4 linked regions of the Drosophila melanogaster genome follow. The protein of the gene in region 1 interacts with the protein of each later gene in a biochemical or structural test. Each region holds a gene or a part of one and is shown on either strand. Other genes may lie near its edges.

Region 1 (3,605 bases):
GGGTTTGGTGGGCGGGGTGTCCGCTCTGTTCGGCTTCTCGCGCACGCTGGCCACCGCCAAGAAGACGGATAGCAAGGTCCTCCAGCAGGCTGGAACGCGGCAAGGCATGATCCTGATGGACGAGGGCGCCACCCTGGCCCTGCGGGCGCTGGGCTGGGGCACACTGTACGCCGTGATGGGCACCGGCGCCTTCTGCTACGGCTTCTGGAAGCTATCCGGAGCCAAGGATGTGAGCATGCCTCCGATTTGTTCAATGAATTTCGCTTTAAATCTTTCGTTTCGTTCGCAGTTCCAGGAGTTCCGCCTCAAGATGGGCAATGCACTGCCAAGAATCACCAAGGACGAACCACCAGCCAGCCGCACCGATTTCGAGAGTCTCACGGACCTCATGAAATACCTGGCAGCCTGGAACAAGGAATAAGCAGCTCACAAATATACACACAATTTAAAGTAGACCTAACGCCTGAGTAGACCAGAACATAAAACGAAACCTTTGTTAACTTCAGTTTACATACAGACAATGTTTTCAAGACGTTTGATCGGTTTTCATTTCTTTCGGTCAGACTTAAAGGCAGCCATCATCAGAAGTGCAACTTAGGGAGTTACATATTAGGGTAGAAATAAATACAGTATAATTCGCTTAGCTGCATCGATAGTTAGCTGCATCGGCAAGATATCTGCATTATTTTTCCATTTTTTTGTGTGAATAGAAAATAGAAAATAGAAAAAAAAAAATTAAGTTAGCTGCATTTTTAAGTTACCTGCATCGAGGCATTGTGCAAAGTACTCGAGGCAGCTAAGCGAATTATACTGTATAAGCCAAAAGCAAACCGTCTTACAATCTCTGAGTCTTAATTTAATTTATCAATATCTACAATTCACATATGTATATTTATGCATAGCTTAGGGTCACCGTTGGTTGGCCATATTCTGGTGTATAGCGTTGTTGATCATGGTGTTCCGCATGAATAGGTAGTGATCGTCCATATTGCACTGCAGCTCCATCATGTCCTCGTGCTCCGCCTGAAATCGGATGGCCGCGTTTGTGAAAGCCAACGAGCTTCGCACGAAGTTTTGCAAATTGGGTCCCTGATCTAGGTAACGCTGCTGCTCCTTGTTTGGCTTGAAGCTAACCTTGCGATTGTCCGTGTCCAGTGCCGCATGCATTACAAAGTCGAAGAACTTTTGCTGCTCCTTCTGGGCGCGCTCCTTGTACTGCTGCACCTCGTCCTCCTGACAGCTAGGATCCCAGACTGAAAGTCTGTACGTTAAGTAAATGGCAATTTAATTAACCACAAGGATTGCACTTACTATCGTCCAGGTCAATGTTAAACAAAGTGCTTGCTTCATAGCGACGCGGTTTCAAAGTGGCCTCCAGTTGGGCCGGCACGTCCTTGAGATCGATGTCGGAGAGATCACCGCTCGATAGATCGACGGCACTCGTGTTGCCCACGTATTCCAGTACGTCACTGCGGCGTACGAATTTCATTAATTTTTCTGGACTTTCGGCTGGCTCCATCGCGTCGCTTCGTTTGTTTTCAGTTTTTAAATCCGTAAACGCTTGCCAACACCCATCGCTGATCCAGTGATGCCACATCTTTTGAACGTAATTCGCTCTGGCTCTTTTCAAGCCAAAACCTTTTATACAAATTAAAATATACGATATAAAAAATTGCACTTTTAATATTAATAAAAAGATATATACTCATTGAAAAAAAGCTGAACTAAAAAAGGGGAAAAGGGTTATAGGGCATAAGTCATTTTATGAATGCTAAGCAGGCCTTGCGTTTAGAATCACATTTCAATTTATTGTATTTGTTCAAGTAGTCAAACCAAATGAACAAAATCGAGAACCGAATACACAGCTATATATATACTTTCTCAAAATCCAAAATTTTAAGATTATCCAAAATTTCCAAATAATGATTTATGCGATCGTGATACACATACTGTCCCTTCTGGTGGGCTGTTTCTATCCAGCATTCGCGTCCTACAAGATCCTGAAAAGTCAGAATTGTAGCGTCAATGATCTTCGCGGATGGTTAATCTACTGGATTGCCTATGGAGTTTATGTGGCCTTTGATTATTTCACAGCGGGTCTGCTGGCATTTATTCCATTGCTAAGTGAGTTCAAGGTGCTTCTCCTGTTCTGGATGTTGCCCTCTGTGGGCGGCGGCAGTGAGGTGATCTACGAGGAGTTCCTGCGATCCTTTAGCTGTAACGAATCCTTCGACCAGGTCCTGGGACGTATCACCTTGGAATGGGGCGAATTGGTGTGGCAACAAGTTTGCTCCGTTCTTAGCCATTTGATGGTTTTGGCAGATCGCTATCTCCTGCCCAGCGGTCATCGTCCTGCCCTCCAAATAACGCCCAGCATCGAGGATCTGGTCAACGATGCCATAGCCAAAAGGCAGTTGGAAGAGAAGCGGAAACAGATGGGTAACTTATCTGATACCATCAACGAGGTTTTGGGAGAAAATATCGATTTAAATATGGATCTGCTGCACGGATCCGAATCTGATTTATTGGTTATTAAGGAGCCTATTTCCAAGCCCAAGGAGAGACCAATACCGCCGCCGAAGCCAATGCGTCAGCCATCATCAAGCAACCAGCAAGAAATGAATCTTTCGTCGCAGTTTATGTGACATCAATTGATATCCTCAATATGTCAGGCGGAAGTTGTCAAAGTTCAGAGCTTTCAAAAAGCATACATCTCAGAAATAAACTAACCTTACCGCAATAAAGTTTATACAAAAAAAGCATTTAAATTGATTAATTTTAGTCACAAAATATTGAACCAATGTGTTGGTTATCTTCTTAGCTATTTTTTCTAGCCTATTTTCTTGTGTTTGCACAATCAGTCGCGGAGGTCTCTTTTCGCGGTCCGGTAACGCTCACATAACAAAACTCAGCAACGAATCAAAAACAGCTGCATTTAACGCGATTCGACTCGGGATTTGTGTCCTTCCTTTTATGAGATGATATGCCGACTCTGCCTGGAGGATGCTGAGCACGGGGTGCCCATTTTCGGCCAGGAACCGCCAATGGGACAACCGGCACATCGCCAGCTGGCCGAGCTGATCGAGCGACATCTGCTGCTGGTGGTGAGTGGATTTGGACTTTTCTACCCCAAAAAGATGTTTTTTTCTAATGATTGAATTGTTCGCTTTCAGTTGGCGGAAAACGACGTGGTGTCCACGTGCCTGTGCAACCGCTGCTGGCGGCAGCTGGCCGAGATCGAGCAATTCTGTTCCATGGTAGCGGAGAAGCAGCGGTCGCTGCACCGCTCCTTGCAGCTGAAAACTGAATTGCCGGAGCTGCCCGAACTGACGGAGCCGGAGCCCGCCCTGGTCGTGTGGAACACGGAGTCGCCAATCGAGCCAAAGCTCAGCTATGAGGGCGATGACATCAAGGATCACATACTGTGCGAACCCGTCATCGACGCCTTGTCCGCGGGCGATGAAAAAGACAGTGACTATGGCGACACCTTTGAACCGGACTTCGAGCCGGAATCGCAGCCAGATGAAGAAGAAGAACCGGAGCCGGATCCGGTAAAACCGCGCCCCAGGGGCAGGCCGCGCAAAACTGCGCTGCAGCAAACGCAT
Region 2 (3,257 bases), on another chromosome or scaffold:
TTTGTTTGCTGACCAATTTGGAACTCAACACATTTACGTGAGAATTCAGTTCAATGTCAACGAACGCGTGCAAATAGCCGCGAAATATCTTTGGAATTGCTTCACTCGAAATAAACGCTAGAAACAAACGAAAAATACCTCGGCCAAAAAAGGCAAATAAAAGCGAATTTTTTCGCAAAACTGGAAATCTAAACAGAGACAAAGGAGATTCGTCACAATCGCCAAAGAACGAAAAGCAAAAGTTGCAGAATTGCTGAGAAGATTTGCAGACGGAAGAAGAAGAGAGCTGTTGTTAAAAAGCTGCAAATGCCAATGGGTTAATGAGGGGGAGGGGGGCAAAGAGAAAAGAAGAGGAGCAATGAAGAGAGGGGGGAGGCAAGTAGGTGGTAATAAGCTGCACCCAACCAACAAGCGAAACAACAACAGTTAGCTTCCATTTGTATTTTTCTCTCTCATTAGCCTCTCTTCGCCATTTCCTCTGCCTCTCCGTTTTCTACGTACCTCATCGATTGATGCTAAAAACTATGAATAAAATATAGGTTAGGCCTTTTCCTTATTTGTAAAAAGCCAACGAGCGTTGAACTCGTCTTGTAGCGTGGGAGTTTTGCTTTCGGAACAACGAAACTATTTTGTTTTGATTTTATCTCAGCGAATTATAATGAAATTTATGCACCGGTGTAACCGCGTGGAGATAAAAGAAAAAGGGAAGCAACGAAACGAAAAGAAAAGAAAAAACAGCAAATGTGAAAAACAAAACAAGCGACTAAAGCGATGGGCCAATTATAAAAACAACAACTATGCGACTCTGTACTTTAAGTAAAAGCCGGCATGCGTGCGAGCAAGCGAGAGAGGCAGAGAGAACAGGGCGGCAGAGCGAGAGAGAGCTAGGAATATTTCTGTGTGCCCTGGTGGTTGTAATAAAATGAAAGGAAGAAAAACTGTAAAACTCAAGCGCCGAAGCCAAAAGAACGATTTTGGGGGTGTAGTTAAAAATCACACTATATTGCTATAAAAAATCGGCATGTATTGGCGAATCTTTTTCTTAGAAATGTATTCAGGAAAACACAAGACCACACAACACACACACACATTGCTTTTAGCCTGGTTTATTTGCCTCGCAAATTCGCTTTTCATTCGCGTTTCCCCAGGCAAAAGATAAAAAAAAACTGTAGAAGAAAAACTCACCTATCGGGATGCCTTTGTTTTCCTTCAGCTACGAAGACTTTGATGCCACCGAACTTAATCACTTAACTTTCAATTGGTATTCAACACGATTTTGTCCGCCACTAAACACTGGCTGGTAAAATATTATTCAAAATATGTATAGCACAAACACACTAGAGCTGAGTTAAAATGCACAAAAGTTAGAGAGGAATTGGAAAATGGCGTATCACCCTGTCATCGATACCTGGACTATCGATATATGATGGTTGAAAACGGTGGTTTAACACTTATTCTTAAAAATACTGTTCGGTGGTATTTATTCATTTTGTTTGACATTGTAATGTAAAAGGCACATATTCTCACCATACCGCTGAATGAAATATATTTATATTTTCAACATCACTTATGTTACAAGGGACTTATGAGTAATAAGAGCTAGTGGAAATACCTCAAAAAAAAACCAATAACAGGGTTGTCACCATACTCTATAATTTCTATCGGCCTGGTGTTTTGCAGAAACTTGCAACTGGTCACACCAATGTGGCATTGTTTTGTTTTGTTTACAATTTGAATTTACTAACAAATTATTTCAATGGAGGATTCGGAAGCCGCATTTAAACGCCACGAGGGTGTGGGACCAAAGGTGAAACAGGCCTACGAGGAAGCCATTAAACAAATCTTTGCCGACTTGAGGTAAGCAGCAGGCATAGTTAACATGATAACGAATATTAAAAATCGTTAATATCTAGCTGCGCAGATCTGCAAGCGTGGGATGCCATTTACCAGGAGCACGAGCAATCCGCTCTGGACACCGAAAGCATCGTAGATCGCACTCGCAGTCTGATGACCAAGGTTGTGCTCGAAATGAACCGATGCTTTTTCGCCAGCAACGATGTGCCAAATAAGTTGCAAACTTTGGAAATGCTCAAGGAACATTTCGCTGCCTACGAGGGCAAGAAATGGTACATGTGCAGCATAAAACATAATACGATTCGATTGCATTGCTAACTCTACTCTACTCTATTGTAATCTATAGGAACGTGAACACTGCAGCACCCGATAAACTCACTCGGCCGCTGCGCATGCGATTTTTGGACTTCAGCGTGGAATTCATGGAGCAGCAACTGGCCTCTCAGGCAAAAGAACTTGAGGTGCGATTTGGATATTAGTTAATCTTTGTACTATTACTGCACTGTTTTGAGTGTACCAAAAGATCCCTAAAGTTAAAGAACCTTCGAGAAGATTTTTAGTTTAATAATTTCATTTCTATAGTTTATCATTTGCATATACATATGTACATATCTAGGTTTGTTATTCTATCAGTATAACTAACATTTGTTTATATTTCAATTACAGATTGCTATGGCCAAGAGCAATGCCAATCGCGAGCGACTCCAACATGTCCATGACAAGCGCCTGAAATTGACTGTCCAAATGGAGCAGCAATTGTCGCAGTACGAGAAAGTTAAGACAGAACTTATTAAACTAGGCGAAGCATTGAACGACTTCTGACAAACTTAAATGCAATAAATAAATAAAATACTACGCTATGAGCTTAATGATTTGAGTGGGGGGTCTTAAAATGGAAATTCATACAAACTAATCTGCATATTCATTAATGTACATACATATGTATGTACACATGCATTTGTCATTGACATTCACAATTTATTTAAATTCGTATCATTGCAATAAGCTCATAATATTAACGAGCAATTGTTTGTATTGGCGACAAAAAATCTTTTAAAATTGAATGTATATACATACATTTCAAGTTATCTCTATAAAGAATACGATAAATAGTACGAAGTTTTTAGCTAAACATGTGTAAACTTATGTATGTATGCATGTGTTTTTTGAGTGATTTCTTAGAATCGCTGTGTGCTTACACACTCCCATACATACATACTTGATTGCGTAGTATAAATCAAAGGAATGGTATTAGTGTAAAAAAGAACCGAATTTTTGCTAGATCTTCCTCAAAAAGTAACTAATAATATACATTTAAAGATGTTTTTTAAAAGATTCGTTTTAATTTCCCTTGTGAGACTGCACTCATTATACAGATTTTCAGTTATATTTTAAGGCAATAA
Region 3 (3,052 bases), on another chromosome or scaffold:
TGAGGCAGTGCTCATTTCCATGGACAACGGGCATTCCCTGTTTTTGGATTCCCGTCAGTAATTTGATGCCCAGCTCGACTCGCAAGTTCTCAAGGAGTTGCGGATGAATCTGCATCCCCGTGCTCTCGAGGAACTCATCGACGGTCTGCATTTCCTGCTGGAGTTCCTCACCTCGCACGCTGGCGTTCAGGATGAAGAAGTCTCCCTTGGATTTGTTGTGCAGCCAGCCCTTGGAGGCCAGCGAAAGACTCCCAAACTTGGCATCCGTCTGCTCGTATTGGGTTAAATCGAACTGGCTTCTTCTGCAGGAGATTAGGGGCTCCCCCTTCTGCTTTTTGCCCTTGGACTTTGCCTTTGGTGGCTTCGTCTTAACTGCCGCCGCCGCCGCTGTGGCATATGAAGCCACATGGCGCGATGATTGCACCCGGAGCACCACGGACAAGTTCAGCATGCTTTCGGAATATTATTCAATGTTTTTCATTTGCCGGCAAGTCAGCTGTGCACACGCATCGAAGTGTTGGAAAGCGCCGCTCGAATTCAATGCCACTTGTGGCGGTAAGTTTGAAATTCATATTTATTTCAAGACCCAGCAACTAATATAATAATAATAATAATAATAATAATAATAATAATAATCTGTTTTTTTTTATAAAATTACATTTCTTCCTGCACATACGAATCATTTATTAGCCGTTCCATTTCCATTAACTGTGGCTTAATGGCCTGGTACTCGGCCAACTGCTGCTTCATCATACATCCCACTTTCACCCGTTCAGCGTGGACATCATGTATAAGCTGTCGATTTTTAATGCTTTTGGCCATAGCAATCTAAAATCGAAGTAATCCAAGTATTACTTAATTCTTCGGAGGTTGAAATACATACCTCGAGTTCCTTTTCCTGTTTCTTAAGCTGTTGCTCCATGAATGTGATGCTTAGATTCAAGTTGTGCATGCGCAGAGGGCGAGTAAGTTCCTCAGGGGACAGACAGTTGAAGTTCCTGCGGATTTACGTTAAAAACCATGGAAAGTGCTGCTGGACAACCAAATTCAAAACCATTCACTAACCAGTTCTTGCCCTCGTGGGCGGCAAACTGCTCCTTAAGCATTTCCAGCGTGGTCAGCTTGGTCTCCACGTCGTTGCCGGAGAAGAAGCACTGGTTCACATCCAGGACGATCTTGGTCATAAGCCGACGGGTGCTGTGGATTATTTGCTCGGTGTCCAGGCTCGTGGATTCGTGCTCCTCGAGGATGGAGGCACACGACTCAAGATCTGAGGAGCTAAGCAATAGTAAGCGTTTGGTCAATCTTTTAATCAGCCATTCTCCTACTTTAAATCCGAGAAGATCTGTCCAATGGCTTCCTCGTAGGCCTGCTTCACCTGTGGAATGACAGCCTGGAGCCGTTTGAAGGCTGCTTCGGTGTCCTCTTCAATATTATTCATACTTTTAACACAATTCTGGCAAAATAATAATTACAAGCAAAACTTGGCGACCGAAAACATATGTGACCATTTACAGATAGGTTGTGAATACCAACCCCTATATGACATGATTGTAGGTATAGGGTATTCGAGCTGCTTTCAATTATGATAACATATATATTGTATAAATTATTTTAAACAACGGTTATTGGCTAATTGGTTAAATTCAAGCATCAAATCTGGTAAGTTGGCATTACTTCGAAAACACTCAATATAACATTGAACTCATTTTTTACGCCACATTCAGAGTGTATTTCTCGAACTGAATTACACAACTTTTCACATGTCGCATCGGCGAAGGAACTTGCAACTAACACTCAATAACTGCACTTTTCAGTTTCCCCGAAAGTTGTGCTTTCACTGCAGTTTGCCACATCGGGAAAACTTGCCACAATGGAATTTCCTTTTATCTCCGCTCTTTCGAGAGGGTTTTTAATTTGTGCAACGTTTTGGGCAAATTGTTGAGGCGGGGACGCAGTTTTTAATATGTTTTGAGTAATTTGTGCGCATTTGCGAATTTTTATCGCAGTCACAAAAGTTTGTCCTTTGTGCTCCTTATCGTGTGCTCCTCGTTGGCGCGGTTGTAATGATGACTTTATGACTTTATTTACGTGCAATAAAGGAAGCATTCTGCGGCAAACTCAGGTTTAAGCATCACCGAGCCACTACTTTCGAATATAAATGCGATCCAGGTTAATTTATTCGCTCGCCGGGTCCGGCATTTCCATTATTTTCCGGGTCCGAAAAGGAACTCAGCTGTGGAGTAGGCAGAATTCGAAATGTGCTCTCCCCTGCACAGGAAAAATCATTTCGACATCAATCTTATAACGACCCATAAATGCCACAAAAATGAAAAGGTGGAAAGTTCGAAATTGTTACCCGGAAAACATTGTTACCCATGGGACATACATGTTTTTCAAAACTTGGTGCATACTTTCAGGCACCATTAAGTGAGATTTGAAAAACCCACTAGCATCTTCTCCGTTTCGATACACATTTTCTCTTTGTGTGGCCCGGATCTCAGATATGCTAAATCCCGGCCAGAATCCTGAGCTGTCCCCTCCAGGAACAGAAGCAGAATCAGGAGGCGTGCCAGTCGGTGGCCGTGTTAACATGCATGTGCCACTCTGCCGCATGTCTTGCTAAAACTCGGCTCCGAATTTGCATTTCAATGATTAAAGTGTTAAAATGCCGGCCGACACATGCGGACTGTTCAGGAACCACCGCCCAGGATCCACCCGCCTTCGTCCTTCGGATAGTTGGTAATGGCTTTATAAAGCGAACACCTCAAGCAAGATGCGATTTTAATATTCTTATTCTCGTGCACATGGTGTGAAAAACTTGGAGATGTTGACTTTTTGTGGTGCGACTGGTATGCAAATGAGCCTAAATTCTGAGACAAAGTTTTGCATACTTTTCTGAATTCTGAATTCTGAATTATACCAATCCAAATAACTATGCATTTCTCACACTGTTTGCGCTTGTCCTGCTCAAAAGAGAGAATATGCTTTCCCCGAAAGTCTTCTCTTTAATTAGTGAAAATGTTAAGTTCTGAAAAAATACTTCTTCTTA
Region 4 (7,610 bases), on another chromosome or scaffold:
AGTCCAGCTGCCTAAGCGAGACCTGAAAAATTCCGATTCAATTGTCTGTGCACACTCGGCGAAAATATGTGAACCGAGAACATGTGCAAGCATGTGAATATAAAATATTTAGTTTTTTAGCTTCCCATTAACATATTTTAAACCAATCAAGTGAACTAAAGAATATATATAAGATTATCTATATATAAAATCGTTCTATTAATTCCTTTTATTTGCAAGGTATTTTCCGGGAAACTCGTAATAGAGTGCGGCGTGTGGGATGATCAAAGGGTTGACACTGCTGTAATGAATGTTAGATGGTGTTTTGTTAATTTTAAACGATGTTCCAAGTCCCGTGTGGGGATGCAGGCACTGGCACACCTGCCGGAAAAGTTTCTGTTGATTCAATTTTTGTTTTGTTTTTTTTTTTTTTACAAATTTATGTTTGTGTTCCTGCTGCGTGTGATTTGTGTGTGTGCTTTTTTAAAAATTGCCATACAAAGCAGACGTGCAGATTGTTTTGAAAGTTGCCTGCTTATTTGTTCTTTCTGGCGTTGTTACCCCTGTTTGCCATTTCGCTTTTGAAGTCTCCAATGCCATCAACATCACGGCGAGCGACTTGTGAATTTCAAAGAAAATGGAAATAAAATGAACTTGAAATTCTAAGCAGCTAGGATATGACCCGAAGTTATGGCGTGGGTCTATCACCTTTGCTACTTAAAATACATGAAAAAACTATGTCGGTCTTACATATTTTAACAAAACAACTCTTTATTATTTTTATTTTCTGTGGCGAAAACGTAAGAAATATAAATCGGCTCAATACTTATCCGTATATAAATTACAAAGCAATTACTAACTGCGTATACACATCAGCACACTGACTTTATCTATCGCATTTTGAATACTATACCTAGTGCCTAAGGAAGAAAAGAAACATTCAAATAATATATAATAAATATTATTCAGCAATATCTTACCCCTATCTATCTCGATCATGTCACCAACACGCAGAACAGAATGGACTTCCTTCTCTTCGCCCACGGCTAAGGTCTCCACATTAAATTCGCCAAATTGCACAAGGAGTTTCTAAAAGCAGAATAGGTTTTAAAATGATCTGCGAGTTGAATGGGAATAATCTTATATTTTACTTACAAGTGGATGGACTTTCGCTTGTTTCATGCTACGTTTTTGGTATGGCTTGAATCGCATATAACCCAGCATTGCTTTCTCCTTTGTATTGTAGAAAGCGTAGTCGATACCATCTACCTGACAGAAAATCAATTCGTTTGCAGAAGCTGGCAATGAAAAATAGCAATTATTAATAAATAAGCTATATGGATTCAATTTCTATAGATTTTACACTTACAGACACTGGCGTTTTCATCCGACATACTTGCACTGGGTGGTGCATCGCCGACGCCACGCAGCCACTGCATCAGTTTAGTGGAGGCTTCTTCCTGCTCGTCTCTCAGGGGAGTTGAAAATACGACGGGACCTAGCGCAGCTTCCGTATAAGGCGCCTGCTCGTCAGGAACGTCAGGCTCTTCCTGATCGCTTGTAAGTGGAGCAACCGAAGATATCATAGGCTCTGGCTCTGGTTCTGGCTCAGCCTCCGTATCAGTTTGGACACCTCCAACTGCCTTCTTTGGTCGTCCCCTTTTCTTGGGCACCTTCTCAGCCTCTGCTTGCACTTCAGTTTCTTCCCACGTCAAGGTACTCAGGCCAAGGGATTCGGAATGCGGTATGGCCCCTGGCAGCTTTTCAGAAATTCTTGGGGTACTGCTGCACAATGGTCCCCGGTTGTCGGGTAAGTTCTTCTCTACAGTAGGCTTTGGCTTTGTGGCACTGGCTTTCTTCGCCTTACTCAAATTTCCCTTTTTCGTCTTTGAGTTTTTGCTGCGAGGCTCTATGAAGCCACTCATAAAGTTAAACTTGCTAGGATCCATGGTGTGACACCAACTCATCTGAAGTGGAACTTGACCGCGCTTTGATCTCCGAATACCGGCTAAGGGAGCAGAAAATAATAGAGCATACATTTAATTTTATCAAAACATTTATTATTGAATATACTCACTAGTATTTAGTTCCTCAGCTTCCACCGGCATTTTGGCCAGCTTTAATTTGTCTACTTCAGACTTCCCTTTTTTTGATTTCGCCCTTGGTGCAGGTGCCAATGGTTTCTTGAACACCACATCCGCGCTTGATTCATCCGGGGGACGACTCTTTGACATGTTCTGACTACGCTGCAAAAACTCCAACGCCGCTCTACTCGTGCTGGGTACGTCGTCAGACAAAAGAGTCCTACTGGGAGATGGATTTCTGCTGGGAACATCATCTGAGTTTTGATCAATCGGAGGAGTGGGTGTGTTAACGCGAAGTGATTCCATAACGTCTGATGATTTCTCGGTACATTCTTCCCCTCGATTGCTTAGAGCTACGGATTTTTCTGTACCAACTGCATTCTGGCGGGGATTTGAGAGTTTCTGGGACTTAGATGAACGATTGGCTAACTTATCATTTTCTTTGCTTTTTGATGCGTTCTGGTGATTACGATTCTGTTTGTTACAGGACGAATTCCAATTTGGATCTGGACCTTCAATACATTCTAATGTATGTGATGCCATTTCATCCTTATCGCTCTTTCTTCTAGTGACATTTTTATTTTGAGATTCCTCTTTTCCGTATTCTTCATTGTAAATTGGTTCCTCGTCACTGTCATAGTCTTCGTTATTTTCGTACGAAGGTGCAATAATTTGTTCCTTATTGGACTTTTGTACACTCTGTTTGGAGTGCTGCAATTTTTTTCCACTTCTCCTCAGTATACTTGCTTGCCCATGGTCACTATCGTCGTACTCTGGTGGCTCTGGCGGTTCACAATATTCTACTGCGTTATGTGTATTTCGATCAACAAGATTGCCATTTTTCGTCGATCTCCTTGATTGCTCATTGTTGCGATTCTCTTCTTCAACATATTCGATAGGAGGTGGTACCAGTTCGTTCTCCATCGCCCTTCGTCCATTCTGAGTGGATTGTTGAAGTTCTTTGGCTGTGCAACGCGGCTGGCTTGGTCGCTCATCATGTTCTTCTTCCTGGCCCCCTTCGTACCCCGGTGGAGGTAAAACCAGGTCATTTTTATTGCTCTTTCGCCCACTTGTGCTTCTGCCCCGTGTATTTACAACGTACTCTGGAGGCGGGGGAGCAATCTCAATTGCATCACTATTTACACTATCATGGAAATCTGGTGGGGCTGCCATCACGACATTATCGAAATCAAATTTTCCGGAGCAGGGCAGATTTTGCAAAGATTGCGAATAGCGCAGTGAAACTGGAGGTGGCGGAACAATTTGGATGCTCTTGCTTAGTCTTGGCAATTTTACAGGTGATAATGAATCGTTATCTTCATGGTCCGAGCTACCCTTTGTGTACAGACAACGCTTGCCGTCCTTTGAAGATTTGCGTCGAGTCTCTAAAGTCTGGGAGAGACCCAAATAGTTTACCAATTCTGTTGTCTGCAAAACGGGGAAAAAAGGTTTTTTTTTTCCTTCGCAACATATAAGCGATCTTGAACTTACCATTGGAAGATCACGACGAGTAGATCGTGGTCGCCCTCGTCCCTGCGATCGATCATTGCTTTTAGTTCGAAGACTTTGTGTTTTTGGCGGAACCGGTATATAGTCTTCATTCGAATCATCCGAGGACTGTTGTTTTGGCAAACCTTCGGCCTCATCCATTAGATTTCTACGTAGCAGCTCCCTCTGAATCTCTTCTTCTAGGATAAGCTTCTCTGAACGATGGTTTCTGTGCCCATTTAAAGGATATATCTCGTTCAACGAGTTGCGCTTGCGCAAATCCAAAATCTCGTAGTTGCTCATCCGGGTTAGCTCGCGGGCAAACTGCTCGCCATTAATGGGGGCACTTGGAGCCTTATTCAGCGGTATAGCAGTCTTTCGCGGCTTTGACTTTTTGGCATTGACCGACTTGTGAAGGTTAAGCAAGCGCATAGAGCTCTCCTGAGATTCGATTGTAGCTCGAGCCCGATTACTACTGCGCAAACGCCGTTGCCGGGTTGTGTTCCCACCTGAAGGAGCTAGATTTAATGGCACAGTGCTGGGATGTTCGTCGCTTTCGTCGTCGGTCATTATGGCATCCATATTTTCTTCCACCCGCGGCAGTTGTGCAATGGATTTCTGGGGAGAGGCAGCGGCGGATCGCCTAGGAGAAGGCGCAATCGGTGGTGAAGATAACGCCGTAACTGGCGAAGTCGGAACAGATTTCATTGCGACAGCGTCCCTTCTTACACTACGATTCGAATTGGATGTGTTTATCACCACAATTGGGCTGATCGCGCTGCGCGACAGAGTCTGCACCAACTCTCCCAGATCCTGCGGCTGGGTTTCCGGCACTACGAACTCCGGTTGGGGCTCTGATTGCCAGGCTGGGTCGTGACTTTGTCGCTCTGGCGTGTCCGGGACCATTAACTCCTGATTGAACCGCTTTGCCTTAACTACTGGCATTTTGCTCGGTGTGTCATAGCGATGTGATGGCGATAGCAGCAGCTGGCCTGGAGCTGGGCCCTTTTCCATTGTGTAGGTACGTCGTAGGCCCGCAACGGATGGTGATGACGGAGTAGGGGGTCGCGAGTACGGTGCCCGTCCAGAATAGTCCAGCTGCAGTACATTCTTGTGAAAGGAACTCTGTCGCTCTTTGCAGATTTGTTCAATTTCAGCTGCAAGAATAGGGTTCCTGGCAGGTGAGGTCACCTTTGTCTGCAGCGGATTTTCCGGCTCTGGTTCTTGTGATAGTTCCATAGGTTTTTCCGCTGGTTTATCAGTTTCCACTCTTGTTGTATTTTTGGCAACTTCCTCTTTTTGTTTCTCTGTGCAAGGTGTGCTGCTTATTTCTGGTAACTAAAAGAGCATTGTTGTTAGTACAAGGATTAGGTATTTGTGGGACATGTATTTAACATACGAAGTTTACAGGACTTGATATGCTGCGGGTCAAGTTTACGGTCTCCTCAAACTCTGGAAGCAATTGGCGTCCACAGCTCCTGGACCGCCGGCGGATGGCATGTCGACGTAGTTTATCAGATCCGGGTACATTTCCACTGCGGCGCATGGAACGTCGGTTATTGGGCGACAATGTTGGCGATCGACGCGGAGGCACGTTCTCATTGGGGGCCTGGTCCACAGGCGGCTCATTGACTTTCTCGGTGGCGGCACTGTTTTTGCTGACCAACTCCCCAAGGGGCTGTACTTCTGGTAGTTTGGACTTGGGCTTAGCCTGAGACTTCTTGATCAGTGGAACCTCGAAATCAAGGTCAAAGTCAAGTTTGAAGTTTCCAAAGAGATTGTCATTCTGTGCCGGCTTATTTTCGGCAAGCTTGCGCATCATAAAGGCGGCGAAGCGCTCCTTGTCCTTCACTGGCTGGCTTAGGATGTCGTCCAGCTCCAGAGTGTCGTTGTTCTGGGGCTTCGACCTGAAAAACAGACGGGTGAGCTCGGAGTTTGTATGTTCTCTTGCCTATGGCATGCTCGCGGTGGCAACTTACATATTTGCAATTGAAACTTGAAAAAAGGATTCTTCACGAAGTTACATACACGACAACAATAAACTTAACTTATTTCGCTAAAACTCCACAAAATTTTAAACTACAAAAAAGACGCGACGCTATTCATTTGGCGTTGCCAGTAACGTCTGTAGGCGCGCCTAGGTGGGGTGTTGCCAGAGCGCTCGAATAGACTATCAGAAAAGAGCTATAAATATCTAAAAGTTTCTTTGATAATAATAAGACATCACCCTGTATAATTACAAATGCATGATGCAATCGTTTTTAAACAGTTATTGTTAAATACAGCTGAGTTTATTTCAAAAGTTTTTATTGAAAATATACTCGAAAGCGTTGACCAGCAGGCAACCATTATATGCAGTATTTCATTACTAAAATATACTAAACGCGTAAAACGCAAGCTGGTCACACTTTGCCGGCAATTTTTGTTGACAAAACAAATCCAAAATGTTTAAAGCAAACTAAACCGACTTTTCAGATTGATCTATTTGTTCGAATTCACTTTATAACAACTGGAAGCAGCTTTGAAAAGCAACCAAAAAGTGGAGCTATACATTTTCTGCGAGAAGGCATGCAATAGAGACGCTGTGAAAACGACTTTGCGTTCGAGGTTTTGATTCTGTTGGAAAAGGATTACGATATCCATATAACCAGAGATTGGAGTTTTTTAACTGAATTCATGAATTCCCAATAAGATCCCCTATTCCACAGCACCAATACTCAGTAGTATAAGGCTGGCCAACTGTAATAATGGAGCTTGGATAGCTTCAAAGTGACCGATTGACATGACTTTATAAGTTAGTTATTTATTAAAGGTTATTAAAGATTAGGTATTCGAATGTGTTAGTAATGAAATAAGAAGCAGACGAATGGTTCATTTGAACTTCTTTCCGCCCTTTCTCGTCGTAGGAGCATCCACGCTGGGCACCTGAACGGAGTAATACTTCGTGGAGATCCTGTTAAGGAAGTAGAGCCCCACCAGGGAAAAGAGAACACTGGTGGTGGCGCAGACACGATGCACGAGTCCCGCGGCGGCCACCGTGAGTGAGAGACAGAAAATAATCTCTGGTAGCAGCTTGGCCTGGAAGTCCTGGCCGAAAACAACCATCTCCGCGTTGGAGACGCACGTGAGGCTCAGGATGAACACCCAGGAGAAGAGGTATCCGCCCAAAAGGACCCTCAGCTGCGAGTCGTTAAACCATTCTGAGCAGAAACGCAGTGTGCCGAACAAAACAATGCTCAGGAGGCCCGAGATGATGGAGGATACCACGGTGCTCTTACTGCTCACTGAAGCGGCTGCAAAGGTTCAGAGTTTAGTTTTTGTTGGCCGTAATTTCCTTGCATTTGCTTACACATATTACTTTTTCTTCCAGCCGGCGTCTTTCTTATACGTGTAGTGAATTATCGAACTATCGAAACTGATATTTGATAATACAAGGGATATTCCAGTATGTAACGACTAAACAAAGTTTTATTCGTTAGGCAGGCATTTTTCTCTATTTTTTTTACGTATTTACATGAAAAATTCTCGAATGACAAATTTGTGCTTGCAATAAAAATAAAAACAGATATCGTTATTTAAATACTGACATCGATAATTTTTTTTGAGAAGTAATATTTAAATCAATTGATGTGGCAACGCTGCGGCTTTCGTGGTGAATGACATTTGTAGTAACAACATTACACTTGAGCACAATTTTAATAAATTGTAAATAAAAAACGCCTTCAACATGTCCTTTGTGTTGCAATTGGCCACCAGGACAGTACGAAGTACCATTGCTCAGGTGCGTGGCGTAGCCACCACAATGCCAAGGCAAATAAAAGAGAGTGAGTTACAGAGACCTCTGTGAAGTGTTTCATAACCCCTCAAATAAATGCACATCTTTAAAATTAATTCGAATTTCTGTTCAATGCCTGTTCCAGTTCATGAGAAGCAGGAGAACAGTGTAAAGATCTTCGAGGGCGTTAATGTGGAATCGCCGCGTGCTCACCTGATGCTTAAATCCGCCTGCCAGACCAAGTTTTGCCCGGAATGCACCTTGGGCCTGGACATCAAGCACAC

What was found.
Region 2: the proteins of Kmn1 (region 1) and Nnf1a form a complex in vitro, tested with the Drosophila melanogaster proteins (2 studies listed by BioGRID).
Region 3: the proteins of Kmn1 (region 1) and Nnf1b form a complex in vitro, tested with the Drosophila melanogaster proteins (one study listed by BioGRID).
Region 4: the proteins of Kmn1 (region 1) and Cenp-C form a complex in vitro, tested with the Drosophila melanogaster proteins (one study listed by BioGRID).

What each region holds. Positions count from the first base shown.
Region 1 is NC_004354.4:11,570,880-11,574,484, forward strand, and holds Kmn1 (kinetochore Mis12-Ndc80 network component 1), read right to left. Parts: upstream 1,564-3,605; 5' UTR 1,520-1,563; coding exon 1,312-1,519; intron 1,254-1,311; coding exon 910-1,253; 3' UTR 504-909; downstream 1-503. Other genes in the region: CG11699 (uncharacterized protein), read left to right, coding at 1-229, 290-421; Reepl1 (receptor accessory protein like 1), read left to right, coding at 1,923-2,645; CG11696 (uncharacterized protein), read left to right, coding at 2,979-3,104, 3,174-3,605.
Region 2 is NT_033778.4:20,585,673-20,588,929, reverse strand, and holds Nnf1a (Nnf1a), read left to right. Parts: upstream 1-1,691; 5' UTR 1,692-1,756; coding exon 1,757-1,857; intron 1,858-1,913; coding exon 1,914-2,126; intron 2,127-2,200; coding exon 2,201-2,315; intron 2,316-2,520; coding exon 2,521-2,676; 3' UTR 2,677-2,708; downstream 2,709-3,257.
Region 3 is NT_033779.5:809,035-812,086, reverse strand, and holds Nnf1b (Nnf1b), read right to left. Parts: upstream 1,511-3,052; 5' UTR 1,442-1,510; coding exon 1,329-1,441; intron 1,279-1,328; coding exon 1,066-1,278; intron 999-1,065; coding exon 884-998; intron 829-883; coding exon 655-828; 3' UTR 556-654; downstream 1-555. Other genes in the region: Dbp21E2 (DEAD box protein 21E2), read right to left, coding at 1-451.
Region 4 is NT_033777.3:8,562,177-8,569,786, reverse strand, and holds Cenp-C (centromeric protein-C), read right to left. Parts: upstream 5,683-7,610; 5' UTR 5,533-5,682; coding exon 5,531-5,532; intron 5,459-5,530; coding exon 4,951-5,458; intron 4,890-4,950; coding exon 3,555-4,889; intron 3,492-3,554; coding exon 2,057-3,491; intron 1,988-2,056; coding exon 1,349-1,987; intron 1,278-1,348; coding exon 1,135-1,277; intron 1,069-1,134; coding exon 960-1,068; intron 900-959; coding exon 835-899; 3' UTR 539-834; downstream 1-538. Other genes in the region: CG31460 (uncharacterized protein), read right to left, coding at 6,423-6,844, 6,901-6,904; mRpS18A (mitochondrial ribosomal protein S18A), read left to right, coding at 7,279-7,375, 7,472-7,610.